Linked DNA regions of Pelodiscus sinensis. The protein of the gene in region 3 interacts with the protein of the main gene of each other region in a pairwise test. Links are inferred from orthologs where the notes say so. Each region holds a gene or a part of one and is shown on either strand. Other genes may lie near its edges.

Region 1 (6,857 bases), on a different chromosome or scaffold from region 3:
CTTGGCGTCTGCGCCCTGCACTCCTGCAGCTGCTGCGTCTGGCACTGCTCTGGACATGGCAGGGCTGGGCGACAGCGACCGGCGCGGCTGGACCCCGGAGCCGCAGCGGGAATATGCCCTCAGGAAGTTCTGAGACTCTGGGTTGGGCGGGGGAGAGCTCTCCTGCGAAAGGCAAACCACATAGCAGGAGCTCCAGGGCCGAGGGGCGACCCCAGACTCTACCGCTGCACGTGCGGGGAACGTCTCCTCCAGGCAGGAGTCAGGCAGGGAACTCAGCTGGCAGGGGAGACACGACCCTGCCTGGGGAAATCTCCACTGCGTTCAATGGAGCGACACTGTAGCACGAGAGAGGAATCCATGGGCGTGCCGGTGCATTTAGCACATCACACACAGTGTGTCGAGTGGCCCCAGCCAGGCCCGGCTTCACGCTGCAGCCGGCCGCGGCAGGGACTAGAATGCCCCCGAGACAAAGGAATTCTCTCTAGTCTTTTTGTGATGCCGCTGTGTGCAGGTACTGCAGTTTGGCCTTCACCTTGGACTCCACATTCTCATACTTCTGGGATTTCCACAGGGCCTTCATGGGTTTGGGCTGGCTGTGCTCCCGCGCCAGCTCCTTCTCCTTGCACCTCCTCTGGATCTCCCGCATCCGCCTCACATTCTCCTTCTCGTGGTCCTTGCACTCGCGCCCTGCACGCCCCGGCGAGACACGGCTTTCACCAGCAGGCCCTGCTGAGCCCCTTGGCACCATGACCAGGGCCTCTCTCAGCGAAGCGGCTCCCTTCACTGCAAACAGCAGCAAGCGGATCCCCTCCCTGTGTGCCAGCCGGATCCCTACCCCCAGAGCCCCTTGTTAGCACACCAAGACACTGGCTTTGCTGGAGTAACTCCAAGAGCAGCTGCTCGAAAACAGCCACCTTTGAGTTAAGACTCACCCGTGGTGGATTCTACCCTCGGGTGGTTGTTCCAAAGGCTAATTACTCTCCCTGGGGACAAATTTATACCTTCCTCCCCAACTCCCTCTGGCTTCATCTTCCAGCCACTGGATTTCCTGCTACACTGACAAGCCCATTTGTTCCCATGTAGGTAACTAGAGACTGCAACCAAGTCACCCTTTAACCTTCCCCTGGGCAGTTCTCAAGTTCTCTGCCTATCCCAGGCACTCCCCAGAGCTGTTCCCATTAGCCACGTACCAGGAAAACCACCTGGGATCTACCTGGCTCTTGGCCTCCATCATATGGCAGGGAGTTCCACAGGCTCACTCCCACGTTTTCCATACGCCAGGCCGGAGTCAGGGTGAGGCCCCACACAAATCCCCATCCTAAACCCTTGCCTCTGCACCAGTTCAAGCCTTCATTCTATCCTGCCCGTCAGCCCCACCTGCTCAATTGCACCTACTTTTCAGGGGCGGCTCCCTGTGGAGAGAGACCCCCTCCAGCTTCAGCAAGATCCCGACTGTCCCCATCTGCCCCTTCTCCAGGATGTCCTGGCCATTGGGGCGGATACGTGGGGGAGGGCGGGCACTGTAACACGTGGGATACAGGCTGGGATCGGGGGCCAGCGGGCCAGAGAGGAAGTCGAGCTTCAAGGCATTTCCTTCCAGCCTCCCTCGAGCTAGAGAGAGACAGCACGAGTCAAGGCATGCGGCACCTCCCCTTTGCTCCCCCCCCGGTGCCCCCACCCTGGATAGAGGGATGTTTAACAGATATTGACATCCCCCCACTTCCTACTCCTCACATCAGCCTCTCCTGGCACTGGAGGCGATGGGAGCTGAGAGCGCTCAGGGCCTCAAAGGAGCCGAGTGTCTCTGCAGGGCCATTCCACACCCTTTGGGGGAGAGCTGCCCCTCCACAGATCCAGGAACTGTGCAGCCAACAGAGGCTAGGGAAGGGAAGGCCTTCACCTGCACTAGCCACCCACGATTATGCAGGACCCCATCCATGCATCGCTGGCTCTCACCTGACAGGGGGCGTTTGTAATAGTCCGGGAAGAGTGTGGGGTCGGGAGGGATGGGCCCCGAGATCCTGGAAGGCCCCTCAGACATCTCGGCCAGGCTCTGCAGCTGCCATGGGGGACAGAAACCAGATAGTGTTTTCTGGGGAACCGTTCCCCAGCCACGGTGAAGATTTTAAATACGTCGGGGCCAGTGCTCTTCGCTGGGGCGACATCCCGCTAGAGAGAACATTGTCACCCTGCAGGCCAAGGGATCCCATCCGTCTAGACATGGATCAAGCTGCAGGCCTCCATGACCAGGGCTGCCCCTCTGCCCCCGAGCGCCCCCGTTTGCTGCAGTACCTGCCGAGCTAGGAGCAGGCAACAGGACGGGTCACTCAGTCAACTGATCTAGTTCTGTTCTTTCCCTCTGACGCACCTGGTATTGGCCACTGTTGGACAATGGGACACTGGGTAGAGAGACCATTGGTCTGAGCCAACATGGCTGTGCTTATAGCATCTCCCCTCACCCGTCTCCCTGCTGGGCTCACACGCTCTTGCCCCAGAGACTCACTCCCTACTCCAAAAATCACAATAAATTGGGCAAGTGGAGCAGCATCAACCCCCTGAGACATCAGGAGAGCTGCAGGTCCACAGGGTCCCTGACCTGCAGCGTTTGGACAGCTCAGCCATTGGGACAGACAGGCCGTCCGTCCGTCCGTCCATCCAGCGGGAAGATCTTTTTCTCCCGCATCTCAGCCCCACTGGGGTGTGATGTACAGGGAGATCACAGCAGCGCACCAGGGAGAAACAGAGCCCTTGATTCCACTTACAAGCTGATGAATTATTGATATGGAGCAGGGATGGGAGGGTCTATGACGCGAACGGCTAATCCGCCTAAGCCTGCCTGTCAGCAGTATGGCTCTTGAGAGAATGAGAACCATTAGCAGACAGCTAATTATCGCCCCCCCACTAGGGGCTACTGCAGAGGGGATAAATGCAGGGACAGTTACAGAGCTGTTCTAGAGCAGCCCCAGCTGTGGATGCTCCTACTCTGGCATCCTGGTCCAGTTCTGCAAGATGAACTTTCTAACCCTTGGCCTGTGGGGTCGGACTGGCAGTCCTGCCCCTCCCAGCAAGGTCTCTCGACCAAGCTAATCCCTAGAAAAACACACCCAGGGATAAATCAGGGATAAGGGATCTTTTGGAAAAGGCTTTATTTTCCGAAAGATCCCCGTCTAGACTGGCGCTTTTTGCCAGCAAAGCCCCGAGCTGGAAAAAAGCGGCAGCCATGTTCATGCAAATGAAGCGGGGGAGATTTAAATCACTGCTTCATTTGCAATTGCACTGTGTCTAATCTGCATCCCTTTTCCGCAAAAGGGGTGCAGTCTAGACACAGCCGTGGACTTTGGAGGGAGTGTCAAAGCAATCGGAGGGCTGTGATAGCAGCAGCCGGCTCCCGAGGGAACTCAAAGACCCACCGCAGACTAGCCAAGCTTCCCCTTTCTATTCTCTTGCCGCAGGGTTAGAGCACATGGAGTATTTGCTGCCTGGCCTAGCCGCGCAACCAGGCTTCCAAAGGAGGCCGGGTGACTTCCCCACCTGGAGCGCGGGATGGGCTGGCAGCAGATCAGAGAGAAGGGCCCATGTGGGGCTGCTGGCATTAGCCCTCCCCCTGGGAGAGGCAGGGCAGCTTCAGAGCCAGCGGGGAGGGCACTGTATCGCACAGGAAGCCAAGCCTGCACCCATCCACCTCAGGGGCAGAAATTTCCCCAGCTTCATGGAAAGCAGGAGCAGGCCCCAGGCCGTCAGAAAGCAGCTCAGGGAAGGGGGATGAGCGTGGAGCCTAGGGAGGATAAGCAATTAGGAGAGGTGGGGCCCCTGCCAGGGGGCCCTCTCCCACCCCTTTCGGTGTCCAAGCGGCCCCCCCGCCCCTCCCAGCACAGCGCCCCCCCACAGCGCGGCCCCCCCGCCCCTCCCAGCACAGCCCCCCCCCCACAGCGCGGCCCCCCCGCCCCTCCCAGCACAGCCCCCCCCACAGCGCAGCCCCCCCCCACAGCGCGGCCCCCCCCGCCCCTCACAGCACAGCGCCCCCCCCCCACAGCGCGGCCCCCCCGCCCCTCCCAGCACAGCGCCCCCCCACAGCGCAGCCCCCCCGCCCCCTCCCAGCACAGCGCCCCCCCCACAGCGCGGCCCCCCCGCCCCTCACAGCACAGCGCCCCCCCCACAGCGCGGCCCCCCCGCCCCTCACAGCACAGCGCCCCCCCCACAGCGCGGCCCCCCCCGCCCCTCCCAGCACAGCCCCCCCCCCACAGCGCGGCCCCCCCGCCCCTCACAGCACAGCCCCCCCCCCCCACAGCGCGGCCCCCCCGCCCCTCCCAGCACAGCCCCCCCCCCCACAGCGCGGCCCCCCCGCCCCTCCCAGCACAGCGCCCCCCCACAGCGCGGCCCCCCCCGCCCCTCACAGCACAGCCCCCCCCCCACAGCGCGGCCCCCCCCGCCCCTCACAGCACAGCCCCCCCCCCACAGCGCGGCCCCCCCGCCCCTCCCAGCACAGCCCCCCCCCCACAGCGCGGCCCCCCCGCCCCTCCCAGCACAGCGCCCCCACAGCGCGGCCCCCCCGCCCCTCCCAGCACAGCGCCCACCCCCCACAGCGCGGCCCCCCCCGCCCCTCACAGCACAGCCCCCCCCACAGCGCGGCCCCCCCGCCCCTCACAGCACAGCCCCCCCCACAGCGCGGCCCCCCCCGCCCCTCACAGCGCCCCCCCCCCCACAGCGCGGCCCCCCCCGCCCCTCACAGCACAGCCCCCCCCCACAGCGCGGCCCCCCCGCCCCTCACAGCACAGCCCCCCCCCACAGCGCGGCCCCCCCGCCCCTCACAGCGCGCCCCCCCCACAGCCCGGCTCCCCCGCCCCTCACAGCGCGCCCCCCCCACAGCCCGGCTCCCCCGCCCCCCGCAGCGCGGCCCCCCCCGCCCCTCCCAGCGCGGGGTCCACACAGCGCCCCCGGCACTGACCCGCTCGCGCTCTCCGGCGGTTAAAGGCCCGGCCCCCGCTTCTCCTAGCAACAGCGTCACCTACGCTTCCGGCCGCGGGGGCTGCTGGGAGCTGTAGTTCGCCCGCTCCCGCAGCGCCCCCTGCCGGCCGCGCCGACACCCGGCATGGGCCGATCCGGCGAGAGTGGGCCGGGCGTGACCCCTCCCATTGCCATATCCCCCCCGTTGCACGTCACAGTCGCCCAGATCGTTCCATGCTCCGCCCCCCCAATTCTGTGTCACGCTCCCCCCCAGGGAGTTCTGTGCCCCCCCAATTCTGAGCCACCCGCCACCAGCTCCGTGTCACGCTGCCCCCCCCAGCCCCATGCCAGGCCCTGATTCTTGTAAGGGCCGGCTGCTCCAAAGCTGGCCTCGCCTTGCCCCCTAATGTCCCCAGGGCCGCTGAGTACCCGGCCGGGCCCACACATCACCCCTTCCTTGGTCTCAACGCTGCCCCTGCACTGCTGGCTCAGTGTTTTGTCCAGGGGATTATTTGCACAATTATTTGTACAATTGTAGGGGTCGAAATTGAACCAAAGCTTGGGCTGAAAATTTCCCCCCAAATGTGTGCTCGGGGCGGGAGGAAAGCTGTCCTGGGAGCCGGGCTCCATTGCCCCTGCAGGGAAGTGACCCTCCCTCCAACTGAGGTTCCTCCCCAGCCCGGGAGGTCACCCTGAGTCCCGTTGCTGCTCCAGCCAGCGTGTGGAATCCACCTGGGGCAGGCCAACTCCCCGCTAGCCCGCGGAGGCCAGGCTGGTGCTCTGGGACAGGCATCCCCTGGCACAATACCCAACACCCTGCAGCTGTGGGCTCTCTCTGTCCGCGGCCCATTGTGCGGGGTGCCCGGGAATCAGAGGTAGGAGGTAAAACAGGGAACAGCGCGGTCCAGCTCCAACACAGCCTCAGGGCCGTGGTGTCAATGCACGGGGAGGGAGGAGGCCGAGGCACCGCGGAAAATGACCCCAGGTGTGGGCCACAGAGCACTGGCCCCGAGGACCCCATTCCAGACCATGCCCCAGACTCGCCACGTGGCCTTTGTCGTGGTCCAGCGCCACGCCGTGCCTCGGTTTCCCCAGCGGTGGAACAGGGCTCACGTGGGCGAGGGATCAAGCGCTCTGGCAAAGCACTGGGGTGGAGGGTTCGCTATCTGCCTGCAGGCAGCACCGCTGACCCCTGGGCCACTCGTTAGGGGGTAAGTGCTTCACTAGCTGGAGGCCAGGTGAGTTCCCAGCATGCCTCGGGACCAAACCCAACGTACCTTGCTGAAGTTCTGGGAGACCAGCAGAGAAACGGCGTCGGGAACACGAACCAGCCGCTGGCTCCTCCCTGGGTCTCCGCGCTGCTAAAGGCAACAAGCAGCCTCTTAATTGTTTTATATTAATTACTTCAAGCCCCTCACTTGGGCATTGGGAGGCTGAAGGAGCTGGTGCCCAGAAGATGCAAAGTGCAGCTCTCCCCCCCTCCGCCCCCCCCCCCCCCCCCCGCTTGGTGTTGCAGGGAGGCAGGGGGAGGGGAAGCAGACGGCCCCATTGCTGATTTGAAGGGAGCGGGGCAGACACACACTAGCTGCCTGGCTCCTTCCTACCCCCAGCACAGCAGAGGCTGCGCCCTCGTTCCCCTCACCCACCAAATCCCTGCTTGGTTCCTGGGGCTCTTAGAGCCATTCCCACTAGCTGCTCTGCCCCACGGGGGGAGGCTGGCAGGCCCCTTCTGCTCTCTCCACCCTCCTTGGGGGAGCGACCCTGGAGCCCTGACGGCTGGGCCCGGGCACAGGCCGCTGGGCAATTCACAGCCAGAAAGGGGCAGGCATGGGTGTCTGACCGAACACGGCAGTTCTGGCCTGGGGCGCTTCCACGGTAGCCGCAGTCATGCACAACGCCCACCGGCTGCAGGT
Region 2 (6,937 bases), on a different chromosome or scaffold from region 3:
AACTACCGGGGATTTAAAAATGGTGGCGCCTGGCAAGATGCAAATGAAGCCCGGGATATTTAAATCCCGGGCTTCATTTGCAACTTCGATTGACTACATTCGAACTAGGGTGGTAGTGTAGACATACCCCTAGTTATCCACCGGACACCCTCCCGCCTTCCTTGTAGTCCATGGACCACAGTTGAATGACACGTGGTTTAATCATTTGATTGCAGTTTGATAGGTAGGGTAAAGTACAGTCCTGCCACAAATATTGGTAGCTATAAATTAGAAGGCTTTTATCAGGAACCAGGAAAAAAGGGGCTAATATTAGTTGTGCAAGCCCATACGCAGCAGAGAGTTTGTGTATGTGTATGTGCGTGTGCAAAGGGTGCAGTCCACATTTACAAAAAAAGCACACACCCCCAGAAATTCCTGTGTATGGGCCTGTATTCATCTCTCCTCAGATGGAAACTGCTCCGTACCCCTAATAATTTTGTTGCCCTTTTCTGTACCTTTTCTAATTCCAGTATCTTTTTTTGAGATGGGGTGGGTGACCACATCTGCACACAGTCTTCAAAATGTGGGTGTACCATGGATTTATACAAAGGCAACAAGCTATTTCCTGCTTTATTAACTATGCCTTTGCCAATGGTTCCCAACATTTCTTCTAGCTTGTTTTGGCTGCCTCTCCAACATTTTTTGGAAATAACTAGCGATAAATCGAAATAACACAGTCCACGTCTACACAGCCGGCAGTTATTTTGACATAATGTCAAAATACTGTCAAGCTGGAGGATTTCTTACTCCGACTCCTGTAACCCTCATTGTACGAGGACTAAGGGAAGTTGGAGGACGAGTGCTCTATTTCGAAGTAAGTGCTTCGAACTGAAGCCATCTGGGGGAATAGCGAGTCTGCCATATCTCCCGCTGCCCCACACTCACTGGCAACGATGGGGCACATGGGGCAAGGCAGCCTCCCAGCTGCGCCACTCTGGAGACAGGAGAGGATTGCCCTGCGTTCTCCAGCGCGAGTGGAGTCACGTGGCCAGGAGAGCAAAACAGTGGGGCTGCCTTGTTCATCTTCCCCTGCTGCTGTGGGTGAGTGCACCTCTCCTATAGATGCCAGGCCCCCTCCACTGCTAGTTTCCCCTCCATCGGCTAGCTGGGCCCCCCCACCTCACATTTGGGTGCATGTGGCCCCTTGTGCCTCCCCATGTGTTGCGCCATCTGCCATTTTGATGGCCAGTCACTAGGATTACCAGGTGGCTTCAAAAAAAATACCGGACACATTTGATCTCAAATGGGGGTAGGGGACTGGCCGGGAGGGCAGTGGGGCTGGCTGGGAGGAGGTGGGGAGGGGAAACCATCCGGCGGGAAGCAGGGCTGGTGGAGAGGAGGCGGGGAGGGGGACATACCGGCTGGTAGGAAGCAGGGCTGGTGGGGGAGGGGAGGGGGAGAGTGGAGGGAGAGAATAAGCCAGTGGGGAGCAGGACTGACCCAGGCGCATGCAGATCCTGGAGCGCTGCCCGTCCCGCGCACGGTCCCGGAGAAGCACGAGCAAGTCCGGCCCAGGGGATTCCCTCCCACCCCCTGGCATAGTTTAATACTGCCTGGCTGGTAGACACACTCACGCAGCCAGGCAGTTTGCAACTACGTACTGATACTCCTAATAATAATAAAACTTACCTAATTAGAAAATACCGGACATTTTATATGTCCGGTATTTTCTCAATTTGTTTCCCAGACAGAACCCACAAATACCAGACTGTCCGGTTCAAAACTGGACACCTGGCAACTCTAACAGTCACCCACCAAGTTTTGTGAGATCTCTTTGTAACTTTTCACTGTCTGCATGGGACTTAACTATCCTAAGTAGTTGAATCATCTGCCAATGTTGCCACCTCACAATTTGTCCCTGGTTACCTGATAGTGTTGCCAGTTTGCATAACCGTGTTTGTGAATCTTATGCGTGAAAAATAAAACTGTGCTCCGAAGGAATGACCCAAACAGACTTTGATCCTGGCACTAGTGCTTCCTGGGCTGGGCAAGACAGGCCTGCAGCTTACAGTTATTCAGCTCATTCTACTAAATGGGAAAGGCGGCTTGGGATCTAACTTAACAGACACCATTTGAGACAAAATTTCAGACTGGCTCCTTAGGACTCAGAAAGCTCCAGATGTTCCTTAGCAGAAGCTCCTCAGGGAAGCTGGTTCAGAAGCTATTCCAATGAGCAGAGGCTCATGGAAGAGGAAGAGGCCTAGACAAAATGTTCTTGCAGGCAAGGAATGTAGGAGAACAAACCGGGAATGGGAACTCCTGACTGTGGAGCTACTAGGAATTGGCACAGCACTGTCAGCAGAAGATGGGCTTTTGGCTGAATGCCCAGTAGAAGCCCAAGCTCTAGGCAGGGATTTCAGCCTCAGTGTGCTCTGGGGCTAGAGGAGCAAGATATACAGATGTTTAATGGCATGTACTCAAAGTCCCGTTAAAATTAAATGGAATTACTCACCTGTGATGTCAGCATGTTAAATGCATGATCAGGGTATAAATTGTAGCACACTGTATTGAACAATAATTATATACTTCCTTTTCTGTAGATGGCAGCAGCCATCCACAGTTATTTCTTGTTGACAAGCATAAAAGGTGGGGGTCCTGCAGGAACCAGAATAAAAATTGGTTTGGAAAGCTTTTACTGGTAATTTGCTTTTCTAATTCACAAATTAAGGTTCAAATGTTGCCCTTTGATGCATGCCAGAATTCAATGAGAAATTGAAGAAGATTAAGAAGAAAAAAAGGGCACAAACCAAGTTCTCCTCCAACTTACAGGTCACCTTTAATTGGTTCCTTCTAAAATTTGGACTCTCTTAATAAATATTTCTTCTTTTTACAGCATTGGGTTAGGGAAGAATTCTTATTTTTCTAGTTATTAAAATACATTTAATCAGCCTTCAGTTGCCTTTCTCACACATAGCAATACTTCCAAACACAGCCATCTGTTGGTTTTAAACCACAACAGCTGCAAATACACTTGCTTGATGTTCAACAAAGGATTTCTCCCCCGTTGCCCCCCCCAAAGAGAATGCAAATTCACTGTCCTCTTTCAGAGAACGTATGCATCTTATGTTCGAAGGAAACATTTTGCCATGCCAGTGATGCATAATTTGAATTATGCAGCTGTTGTAATCAGCCATCTTATAATATGACAGAGACTTTTCAGAATTTTCCTCTCTCCATTTCCTCATATGAATAAAAAATATCTACAAGCTTATCTGTGTCCATTGGCTTTCGCTAGAGTTAATAAAAAATCACTGTAAAGGGGCACTGGAATGGGCTGAGTTTTGAGGCCTAGTGCCAACTCTCATATTTTATCTGGAGTTTTGCAATGATTGTCATGGTGATTTAAAGTCCCAGCTTTTGGAGTCATGTTTATTATGTAAGCATCTCAACTTCCATTAAACATATGTCCAGCCCTTGCAGAGGCACAGAAAAGTTTTAAAACTTGTCCTAAGTGCACTCTAAATGCACCCCCCAGATGTTTCCTTTTTTACAACATCTGGCAATTCTTTCCCCCCCCCTCCTCTCATAATGTGGGGGAGGGCCTGGTGTGTGATGTCTGAACCCTGGGGGTTAGCAGCACCATTCAGGGTAGCCCTGGAGGACGCTGCCTGGCAGGGGGTGAAAGGGAAATGGGGGTGGGGGGAGGGGAGCGAACAGAGGCGGGCTGGGGACTGAGGCAGAGGTGAGAAAGGCCCACGTGGAAGGAAAGGGGAGTCACGTGTCTGGAACCACAGCTGGAACCGCACGCCCCCAACGCCAAGTGCTACCCGCGGTACAAGTCATATGACCCGCACCCCCTGGCAGCGGCCACGCCCCACCAGGCCACGTGACGCCATTGTTCCGCCTCGGTAGCTATGGACGCCGTCAGCTGCGACCGCTCATTCCTGGTCACGTGGTTGACGTTCCGTCCCTCCCCCCCCCCCCCCCCCCCGACGCAGACAGCACCCGGAAGCGGGAGCTTTCTTGGGTCCGCTCCTCACTCGTGGGGGGAGGGGGATGCGGGAACGAGCCTCGGACACTTTCTCCCCCTGCAGCGCCGCGCGGGAGGAGCCGGTAAGGGGGAGGGGAGCGAATGGGAGGGGTCTGCCCCCCCCCGTGCTGGGGAGGGGAGTTAATGGGGGGGCTGGGGAGGAGGGGTCTGCCCCCCCCGTGCTGGGGAGGGGAGTTAATGGGGGGGCTGGGGAGGAGGGGTCTGCCCCCCCCGTGCTGGGGAGGGGAGTTAATGGGGGGGCTGGGGAGGAGGGGTCTGCCCCCCCCGTGCTGGGGAGGGGAGTTAATGGGGGGGCTGGGGAGGAGGGGTCTGCCCCCCCCCGTGCTGGGGAGGGGAGTTAATGGGGGGGCTGGGGAGGAGGGGTCTGCCCCCCCCGTGCTGGGGAGGGGAGTTAATGGGGGGGCTGAGGAGGAGGGGTCTGCCCCCCCCGTGCTGGGGAGGGAGTTAATGGGGGGGCTGAGGAGGAGGGGTCTGCCCCCCCCCGTGCTGGGGAGGGAGTTAATGGGGGGGCTGAGGAGGAGGGGTCTGCCCCCCCCCCCGTGCTGGGGAGGGGAGTTAATGGGGGGGCTGAGGAGGAGGGGTCTGCCCCCCCCCGTGCTGGGGAGGGGAATTAATGGGGGGGCTGAGGAGGAGGGGTCTGCCCCCCCCCGTGCTGGGGAGGGGAGTTAATGGGGGGTAGAGGAGGAGGTGTCTGCCCCCCTTCGTGCTGGGGGGAGTGAATGGGGGGCAGAGGAAGAGGAGTGCTCTTAGTCCCCCATGCTGGGGTAGAGGCATAAATTAGGGAGCAGAAATGCAGAGAGTGCTGGGGGCGGTGATCTCCTGTCCCAAAAGCTGCTGTTTTAATTCCCTGTAATGGCACTTTCAGTAAGTTGAAGCACCTGTAGCTGTTGTGATTACATTGCATTTACCAACATGCACAGTTCATTTTAGACCCACAATTTTACTGATTCAGATTTTGTGTCCCTGGGCACAGGAATAGAATGGTCGATGCAGCAAGACACATCAGCAGAGCAAACATTTTGATGGGTGGGTTAAATAGCAGTGCTTATGGGGCTGTTGCTTATAGATCAAATGCAGTTTGGGTGTACAGACATTCAAGCAGTTGTTCACAGAATCTATGCAGCTTTCTTGCTCCTGTGATAGACTTAAAAACAGTCCAGGCTGTCAGTGACCAAAAGCTTTTACCAGAGCAGTGTTGTGAATGAAGTTTTTTGTGACTCATACACCTTTAATCTCTCTTTCTGCTCATCAGATGTACATCAACAGGCAACCCACGCATAGGAACTGTAGTTTAAAAAATGTACACTGGCTTAATCATTAGCCAGCCTGAGAGTATTTGACATTTGCTACATTTTTTTTTTGGTTACTTGATTTCCTAGTTATGTTTCATGGTATGGATGTGAAAGATTGACTGGTAAGCATCACCCTTAACTGGTTAACTGATGGGGGTTGGAGCAGCTGCCTTTCCACCCAGCTGGGGAGTGCTGCAGCCCTGTGGGGCCCACCACAGGCAGGGGCAGCTGTGGGTGGCCAGAGCCCCACTGTCTGCAGCAGGCCCGACCCCATCACATGCAGGGGCACTGCTCCAGCCTAGCCCCCTATCTACCTCCCTTTAATCAGTTAAACATCATATTTAATTAGTTAGCCAATTAAGTGAGATTTTACATCCCTATTTCAAGGTATTGTTTCTGTTCCATGCCTCGGAAGAACTATTTATTGGTGTGAACTTAGTATTTTGTTTCTGTGCATACTTGCATATGATGCTTTGAATGTTCACAAAGTGAATTTAGTACCATTGAAATTCATTTGCACAAACACTCTTGAGAGAGGAACACAAAAGGGGTATTGGCATGGTCAGAACAAAATAACATAAGTGGAAATGTTTTGTGGTGGTTGGCTCTACTTACCATTTGATGGACGACTTGCTTACATGACATGATTGTGACGCTCACAGTCCATTTGCTAATAGATTGCTGTCCACTGCATAAAACTTTCCACAAATGGCACTGATTGAGATCTTTATCACCAGTCTTACTGGTGATCTAGAGGTTTGAATGGGCATGGAGATTGAGATGCTTTATTAGCTCTGGGAGGGGGTCCCAACAGTCTGGTCATTGTTGAGGTATATTGACAGAACAGTGAGAGTCACAGAGGGGGAAAGTTTGAACACATCTGTACTCAGGGTGAAAGAATCCTGTGTCTGAAGTTGCAGCTGGCACCCATCACCAGCCCCGGGGTCCCCTCTAATGGTACTAAAACAATAGGCAGAAAAAGAGGAAAGAACTGATTATAGCTGGAATTTATTTCTAGTCTTTTTACAGTGAACAAAATTATTCTTCAGCACATTCCTTTTAGCAAACTTACTAAATGCGTCTGGTGAGCTTTTCCGAACGTGTGTTCATGTAAGTGGTACCCTGATCCTGACTTGGGCTTCTGATTGCTACTCTAACATAAATAGAGTATAAACTTAAAAAACAACGAATTTAACACAACCCACTTCTGCCCACGGAAGCTCATGATACCATCTACATGTTTCTTTAGACTTTGAAGTCCTACCAGACTATTCGTTGTTTATTCTATGCAGACTAACTCGGCTACTCCCTGAAGCTTATAAATATAGTAAAAAGAATAAAGTTATTTTGCTTCTTGTTACTATTTTTGCTGTACTTCATTGAACCATCACGTCCCACATCAGTTTTATATGTGAACAGGGTAAGCCATACTTCTGGCAAGTGCCGGGGATTAGTAGAATGAACTACTCTCTTCTTTTTCTCATGCACAGCTGTCCTCCCATTCCAGTAATGTCTAAGCCTGTTTCATTTTGTAGTCAGCTGAGTGAAAGAGGTGTTTGGCCTCCATTATACCTTTTATACCACAAAAGTGTTCTTCTAGAGTAGAACAAGTGTT
Region 3 (6,950 bases):
TTTAATAATACTAATGGAGAAAATATGGGATGTCTATTTTTAGTACCAAATCATATTCATATTTGAAAAAGACTTGGTGCAATGTGTATTCAATAAAGCGTAATCTGGAAGTCAGGTGAAGGAAAAAGGAGTACAAGGAACATAGACAGCAAAATAAGAATGAGGGTATGGCAGTTAGAGAAAATGAATTTACAGTTAATAAAGTGAAAACTGAAACCTTATAAAATATATTATAGAATCATCCATATATATGAATTCTTGCTGGGAGAAGAATATCTAACTGCTTCTGTGACTGCTTGAGTTTTGGTCAACCCTGGTTGAGCTCTGTTATACAATACTTGGATTCCTCTCTCCTTTTTCTTTTTTTACAAAAAGTAGAGCATTTCAGACAGACAAATATATCAAGTCCAATTAAAATTCCTCAGACTTATTCCCATGGAATTATCTGAAAACTGCAGTGCATGTACCGCTAATGACAGACAAACTTGATGTTCCACCAACTGCCTTAAAAATGTTGAAGTGGCACACGAACCAACAGAGTTTGCAAGCCACTGCTCTAAAATATGGGTACACCTATCAAGTAGTCTTAATTTAGCCCTTGAATATGTAGGCTTGTACTCAGTTAACCTATCCTATAAAGTATCTAGCACCCTTGGCTATATCTAGAGGTTAACTAGGGAAGGGCCATAGCCAGATGTCTTATCCAGAATTTTGATGATCTTTGAAAATCTGACCTTCCACAATGAGACAACCAACAGAGGGTAGCAAGGCCCTACTGGTGTGAAAGTGTATATGAATTAAGTCCAATGTATTCCTAAATTCTATCATATATGTTAGAGGGATCCATCCTATGTACACGATTTGCAAAGAAACGTCATAAGCAGTGCAGCAAACTGAAGATTTTTTTAGACTTGTGTGACGGCACGTTGGGGGTTCCCCGTCTCCTGCACCCCGAAATGGCACAAACAGACTGTACCAGCCAGTGGAATTGAGGGTGGTTTATTGCTCCTCCAGCACAGCGCAGCACAGATGTAGTCTGGTTACAGGAACTGGGCTAGGATGCCTCAGGCCCCCTTGAGATGGGGGAGACTGGGCCCCTAAAACTCCAGCTCCTCTCCCTAGGCTGTCTCATCCATCCTCACAGACAGCCACCAACCAACTAACCCACTTCCAGCCCTGCCCCCCAGCCAGGGCCGCATTCACCTTCCTTTGTTCCTCTCCATGGGGGGTGTCTGGCCACTGGTTCAACAAGTTTGTCCTTACCTCTGCCTAGTGAGGTTTTCCCTGCTGGGTCTTGCTCCAGACAGCAGAGGTCACCACATCCCAGCAAGTACCCCCACTACGTCACAACTTGTTTTTGCCAAGACCTTGTGTGAGCATTTATAAATTGTGCTAAGCAGTCACATTAGCAATCAGTAAATGATTTGATAGAGATTTAGAAGAAATGGAAAGGGATGAAAAACAATATTTAGCACCAAACTCTTTAGGGCAGGGAACATCTCTTTGATTCAGAAAGTTCTATATATTTTTGTGGGGCTAAATAATTATTGGTAAGATTAATAAATTAATCTATTAAAAGATGCTAAGGCCTATCTATTGAGGTAAATGGCAATAAATTAACCAATTACAGGTGATTAGTAAAAGAAATAATTGAAGAGCACTGGATTAAATAAAGGACAGGAAAAAATAGAAAATAAGCTTGATACATCATTCTTTGCACTTACTGAATGTCCATTAAATTTGTTGGATGGTTGGAATAGGTGAAGAACACACAAGTCCCATTCATGAAACAACATTTATACAGTATATTTATATACATTTCAGGGCACATTTGCATTTTAGGGCAAATAGTTGCAAGAACACTAAGTATTCCTTCTGTAAGTTATATTAGAGCAAGAAAAATGTTTCCTACCCAATATCAACATTAATGGTTGTGGGGAATAAACTAATGTGGTAGTGATGAAAACAGTGAAAATGAAAAGCTAGATACAGCCAGAGAACCTGGGTTTTAACTGCTGAGAAGTTAGAACAGTCTGCTATATGCATTTATGAAATTGCTCTGTATTACTTTAGGAATTTATTCCTCAGGTCCTTCCTAGTGACAGCTCATCCACACACATTCTGAGATTGTCCATTATTTGAAACGGTACTAGCTGAATTTCCTTTTTTATTATTTTTAAAGTGCAGTATAACAAAAAACAAACAAACAAAACCTTACTGATTTATAGCTCCTAATTTTGCCTGTATCCAGAGAGTTTTCAGGGGGAAATTAAGATCACAAATTTATCAGTTAGTTGCACATTTTATATCGGAAACATTCCTTCTGATTACACAACTTCCTGTTAACCGCAACAGAAATTGAGTGCAAGTTGCAAACTCAAACTATACTATTCCCCTGAGACTAAAATTTCTAGTGTTGAGTGAGGTTTAGAAAATGACCCAAACAGTACCTCCTTCTCCTACTGTACTTTTGAATTTTTATATAAACAGTGTAAGCCTTCAACATTCCATATTTATAGTAAATCATTCAGGTTTTTAAATTAATAATAAAGATAGTTTAACATACTTTTACTGTGCAAATGTATATTTTAAAATCTTATATTAAAATAAGCATATTGCATACATACAGGACAAGGTATGTTTAATATGATGCAAAGATAAAAAAAATTGTCCAATGGTAGTTTAATGGAAAGCAAAAGGAAAATAGTAAAACACAATTTAATCACACAATCAAAATAGTTTTCTTTTTTAAATCTAAGTACTTCTGTAATATAGCTTATAGAGCTTTCCACCCTCAGTTCCCTGGGTGAGTATTATACACACCACCCTGCAGAAAGATATAAAAATTAACACAGTATAAAACCACAAGACTACTAAAGCCCCTTACCCTTTGGGCTTGCTGGGCTGTTCTTGCTGCTCAGTGCTGCAGACACATGTGTAAACAGAATTTCCTGCATCCTTTTCTGATCTGCACAGTTCTGGGGTTTTGGCCAACAGGATTATTTCCAGCATTAAAGCCACTCCACACTAACTAGAAAGAAGATTCCCATTGGTCAGGCTGTATCAAAACCAATACCACAACTTTTTTTTTAAATGCAAGTCAGTCACCACCTACAGATACACGCCACACACAGCTTATTGTGCTTTTCATCAGTAATTTCTCCTCCTTTTCTGAACTGCATATTGTGTGTGTGTGAGAGAGAGAGATTGATTGATTGATTTCTGGGCCAGCAACAGCTTCTCCCACTCCACATGTATCTCTGGTACATTTTGCATGCTATTGTAAAGTACATTACACCATTAACAAAAGTCCTGTGATATTTAAATTGTGAAGCACAAAAGGTGTGAGCAAGCTAACCAAATCCAAATAAAAAATACAGACCCTGAAAGAAAAGGGTAATTTCTTGAGCTCTGAATATCATTTACACCACACAAACATAAATGACTGGTACACTAAAGAAAAAAAAAATATTTTGTGGAATATAAAATAGTACACTTTTGTAACATTGGGGCTACAAATATAGGGAAAGATTGAAACGCACCAGCTTGCCTATAATAGGAATCTGCAAAGGAGCTGCATGCTACCACTGTGGGACCTCTTAAGAGTCATTCAGTCAAACAATACCATGGCTCCATTGAAATCAGCGAAGCTCTGGCAAGCCCATTGATCTGGCCCATTGAGTCTACTTCAGTCATAATGCTTATATAGAGTAGCTGCAATCCCCTGTGTCATTTGGAAAGAGGCTTCTTCTTTGGATCTAACAATGGTAACTCTCCCACAAACGCTCCCCCCCCTTTGCTCTCCCTGCTTCTTTTGGATACATTGATATCAACAGGAGAGCTACACCCAGAAAAAGACCACCACCAAGATTTCAGATTTATAATTTTCAGAAACACCCACTAGAAATACCTCAAAGGAATCCGATCTTCAGAAGGAAGTTGCTTGGCACTTTCTGAATATTAGTTCCCCTCAAAATGTTTCAAAATTGTTATCCCAAAGAATTAAGGAACCCCAAAAATCATTAGTTACTTTTGAAAACCTGTTCCAGGAAAAATAATATACATTTTTCCATATAGAAAACTCAGGCAAATTACATGTCTTCGGAGTGGAATTCTCCCCTCCCACCTCCAGCACCCACAACTTGCTGTAGAACTTAAATCTTAATAGTTAAGGAAATCAATCTATTTTTAAACACATAAATCATCCCACATTATACACTGTATTGCACTCCCCGGAGAATATTCAGACTTCTGGTTTATAGCAAAAGAAAGTTAAGGTAACCACATACCTCTTTTATAGGAAAACACACCCAGAGACATATTTTTTTTTTAGTTGTGCTGCTATTTCTTACCTTTCCAACTCTCTCCGGTCAGTCATCACAAGCACTCATCTCCATCTTGCCACCGCCTTCATTCTGTACAGTGCCAATTTCCACTATTTAACGTTTATTTATTTTTAAAAAAATCTGAAGCTATATTCATCACATTAAGCAAAATGCATAGCATTTCCTTACTATTGCTGTAATATCTTCCATGCCATCAGTCCAGCCATTCCCCACTCCCAGAATATACTCAGGGTGCATCTACACTGCATCCTTACCTTAAAATAAGCTATGCAATTTGCACTATGCAAACTGAGTAGCTTATTTTGAGGTAATTTCAAAATAGCTTATTTCGAAATTTGACACTGTCTACAAAACGACAAATTTCTAAATAAAGCACTATTCTGACAAATCCATTAACTACTCCTTATTCACCAAGGGTATGTCTACACAGCAGGGCTAAAGTTGAATGAAGCTACACAATTTCAGCTATATCAATTGTGTAGCTTAAGTTGAAATAGCTTAACTTGGCTTTAGGCGCTAGGCGCTGTCTACACAGCAGGAAGTCAAAGGAAGAACATTCTTCCTTCTACTTCCCTTACTTCTCGTAAAATGAGGGTTATAGGACTCAGCCTCAGTCTACACTGATGCTTTTTATCGGAAAAAGGTACACAAATAGCGCTCCACAATTTGCGTACCTTTTTCCAATAGTTTCCAATATACACTGGGCCAAATTTCAGAAAACTCTCCTCTTTCGGAAGAACCCTTCCTTGTGGCACTGAAAGAGCGCATCTGCTCTTCCACAAAAAATGTTGGACAAGCAGACGCGATCCCTGGATGCAGTGGAGTTTTTCTGGGATACCTCAGCCCGGAAAACCCTTAGAGTCTAGACATAGCCTCAGCATAACAAGTCTTCCAGCTCAATATTATTTTGAAAAACGCTTGTAACATAGATGCACTCTTTGTTATTTCAGAACAATAACATGGCTGTGTAGATGTACCCCAACAGCCCAATCTTACAACCCTTACTTGGGGGCAAAATTCCCATTGATTTCTAAAGAAATCCAATATATTACTATTATTCAAGAAAAAGATAACATATGACTTGATCACCAGTTATAAATACCTTCATGAGGAGAAGATTATTGATATTTGGGGGCTCTATACTCACAAAAAAAATAAAAGATCTCAAGATCTAATGGCTGGAAATAGAAGATGGACAAATTCAGACTAGAATGAAGGTGTAATTTTTTAAATAAGAACAATTAACCATTAGAATAATTTACTTGGGCATATGGTGAATTCTGTCACCCGAAGTCTTCAAATGAATAGCAATAACAAACATACCTAGATTTTGTTATAGTGCTTTTCACAAGTACCTTTCAAAGTGGCTCCGTATCTCTGGCTGTGTCTACATTGGCCCGCTTTTGCACCAAACTTGCTTCCTCTCTACACTGGCCGCGAGTTCTTGAACAAGAACACTGACATTCTAATGTTATGAAATCAGTGCTTCTTGCACAAGAACTATGATGATCCCGCTCAGGAATAAGCCCTCTTGCGCAAGAAAGCCCTATGGTTAAAATGGCCATCAGAGCTTTCTTGCGCAAGGGAGCATCTACACTGTCAAGGATGGTCTTGTGCAAAAACACATCTCTTGCACAAAGGCACATGCCAGTGTAGACACTCTCTTCTGGAAGAGTTTTTGCACAAGAACTCTTCTGCAAAAGAGTTCTTGCGCAAAATCATGCCAGTGTAGACAAAACCGCTGTGTATAGTTGGTAAAACTGAGGCACCAAAGTGAAGTGAGTTTCCTTGGGCAGACTAGTGGCAGAGCTAGGAATAAAACCCATGCTGCTTGGTCCAATGCTCAGTCACTAGGCCACACTGCCTTGTAATTCTTTGTACAAATCAAAACTGAATACACTTCTACCCAAACCAGAATTTATAGATGGTGCAAAATTCACTGGGTGAAATTCTACGACTTGAATCATGCTGGTAATCAGGCCTCCCTTCAATTCTAGTACATTTAATTCCTGGAGATATGTCAAATGATTCCTCCCCACCTCCCTCCAGGCAAATCATGCTAGTTAGTCCATGAAAGAGGATTAATAGGATGTGAAAAACAATATTTCTGAAGCCCTCAATGCTGAGATCCATTCCCAGGGTGTTACAATGGAAAAGAGTCAGTCCATCCAAGGATTACTAAAGCCAGTGAAAAGAATTATTTAATGTGTCTCAGAGGAGCAAGCTGGGTCACATTTTTCTCAAAACAACAGAAGTCAACATCCATTGAATTGATGTAATTTCTGTGGCAGTCTCAAGTATTGAACAGAATTATAGTTCATTCCAGTCAAAAGAAACCAGAACTATACAGTTCAAGCACAGGGCATAATAAACTAAAGTGTACCTTTTACTAGCTAAATTAACAAACAAAACAAAAACACATTCAGCATGGCTCTAAGCCCCAACATTTTAACTTCTGGACAATCCTCATAACATTGTTTCCAAAGGTCAGAATAAAATCTTTCTGGGGAAAAATTAATACTCTAATTCGTTTTCATGATGATTCCAGAGTACTAGAGCCAGTTTGTAATCTCACAGTGGTTTTATAGTGATAATACCTTTCAG

What was found. The genes of interacting proteins can lie anywhere in the genome.
Region 1: the proteins of CCDC102B (region 3) and ENKD1 interact in binary tests that used the Homo sapiens proteins (3 or more experiments, as listed by UniProt). The two-hybrid records come from large-scale screens. The link is inferred for Pelodiscus sinensis from reciprocal best matches to the Homo sapiens genes CCDC102B and ENKD1.
Region 2: the proteins of CCDC102B (region 3) and SPG21 interact in binary tests that used the Homo sapiens proteins (3 or more experiments, as listed by UniProt). The two-hybrid records come from large-scale screens. The link is inferred for Pelodiscus sinensis from reciprocal best matches to the Homo sapiens genes CCDC102B and SPG21.

The regions. Positions count from the first base shown.
Region 1 is NC_134722.1:46,626,275-46,633,131, forward strand, and holds the start of ENKD1 (enkurin domain-containing protein 1), read right to left. Parts: upstream 3,005-6,857; 5' UTR 2,293-3,004; intron 2,060-2,292; 5' UTR 2,042-2,059; coding exon 1,957-2,041; intron 1,612-1,956; coding exon 1,396-1,611; intron 688-1,395; coding exon 515-687; intron 163-514; coding exon 1-162. UniProt on the Homo sapiens protein: Microtubule-binding protein which regulates microtubule organization and stability. Promotes the stability of astral microtubules and facilitates the proper orientation of the mitotic spindle.
Region 2 is NC_134724.1:6,636,635-6,643,571, forward strand, and holds the start of SPG21 (maspardin), read left to right. Parts: upstream 1-3,933; 5' UTR 3,934-4,092; intron 4,093-6,937. UniProt on the Homo sapiens protein: May play a role as a negative regulatory factor in CD4-dependent T-cell activation.
Region 3 is NC_134712.1:92,057,264-92,064,213, reverse strand, and holds the start of CCDC102B (coiled-coil domain-containing protein 102B), read right to left. Parts: upstream 3,022-6,950; 5' UTR 2,888-3,021; intron 1-2,887. UniProt on the Homo sapiens protein: During interphase, forms fibers at the proximal ends of centrioles to maintain centrosome cohesion. During mitosis, dissociates from the centrosome following phosphorylation to allow centrosome separation. Contributes to CROCC/rootletin filament formation.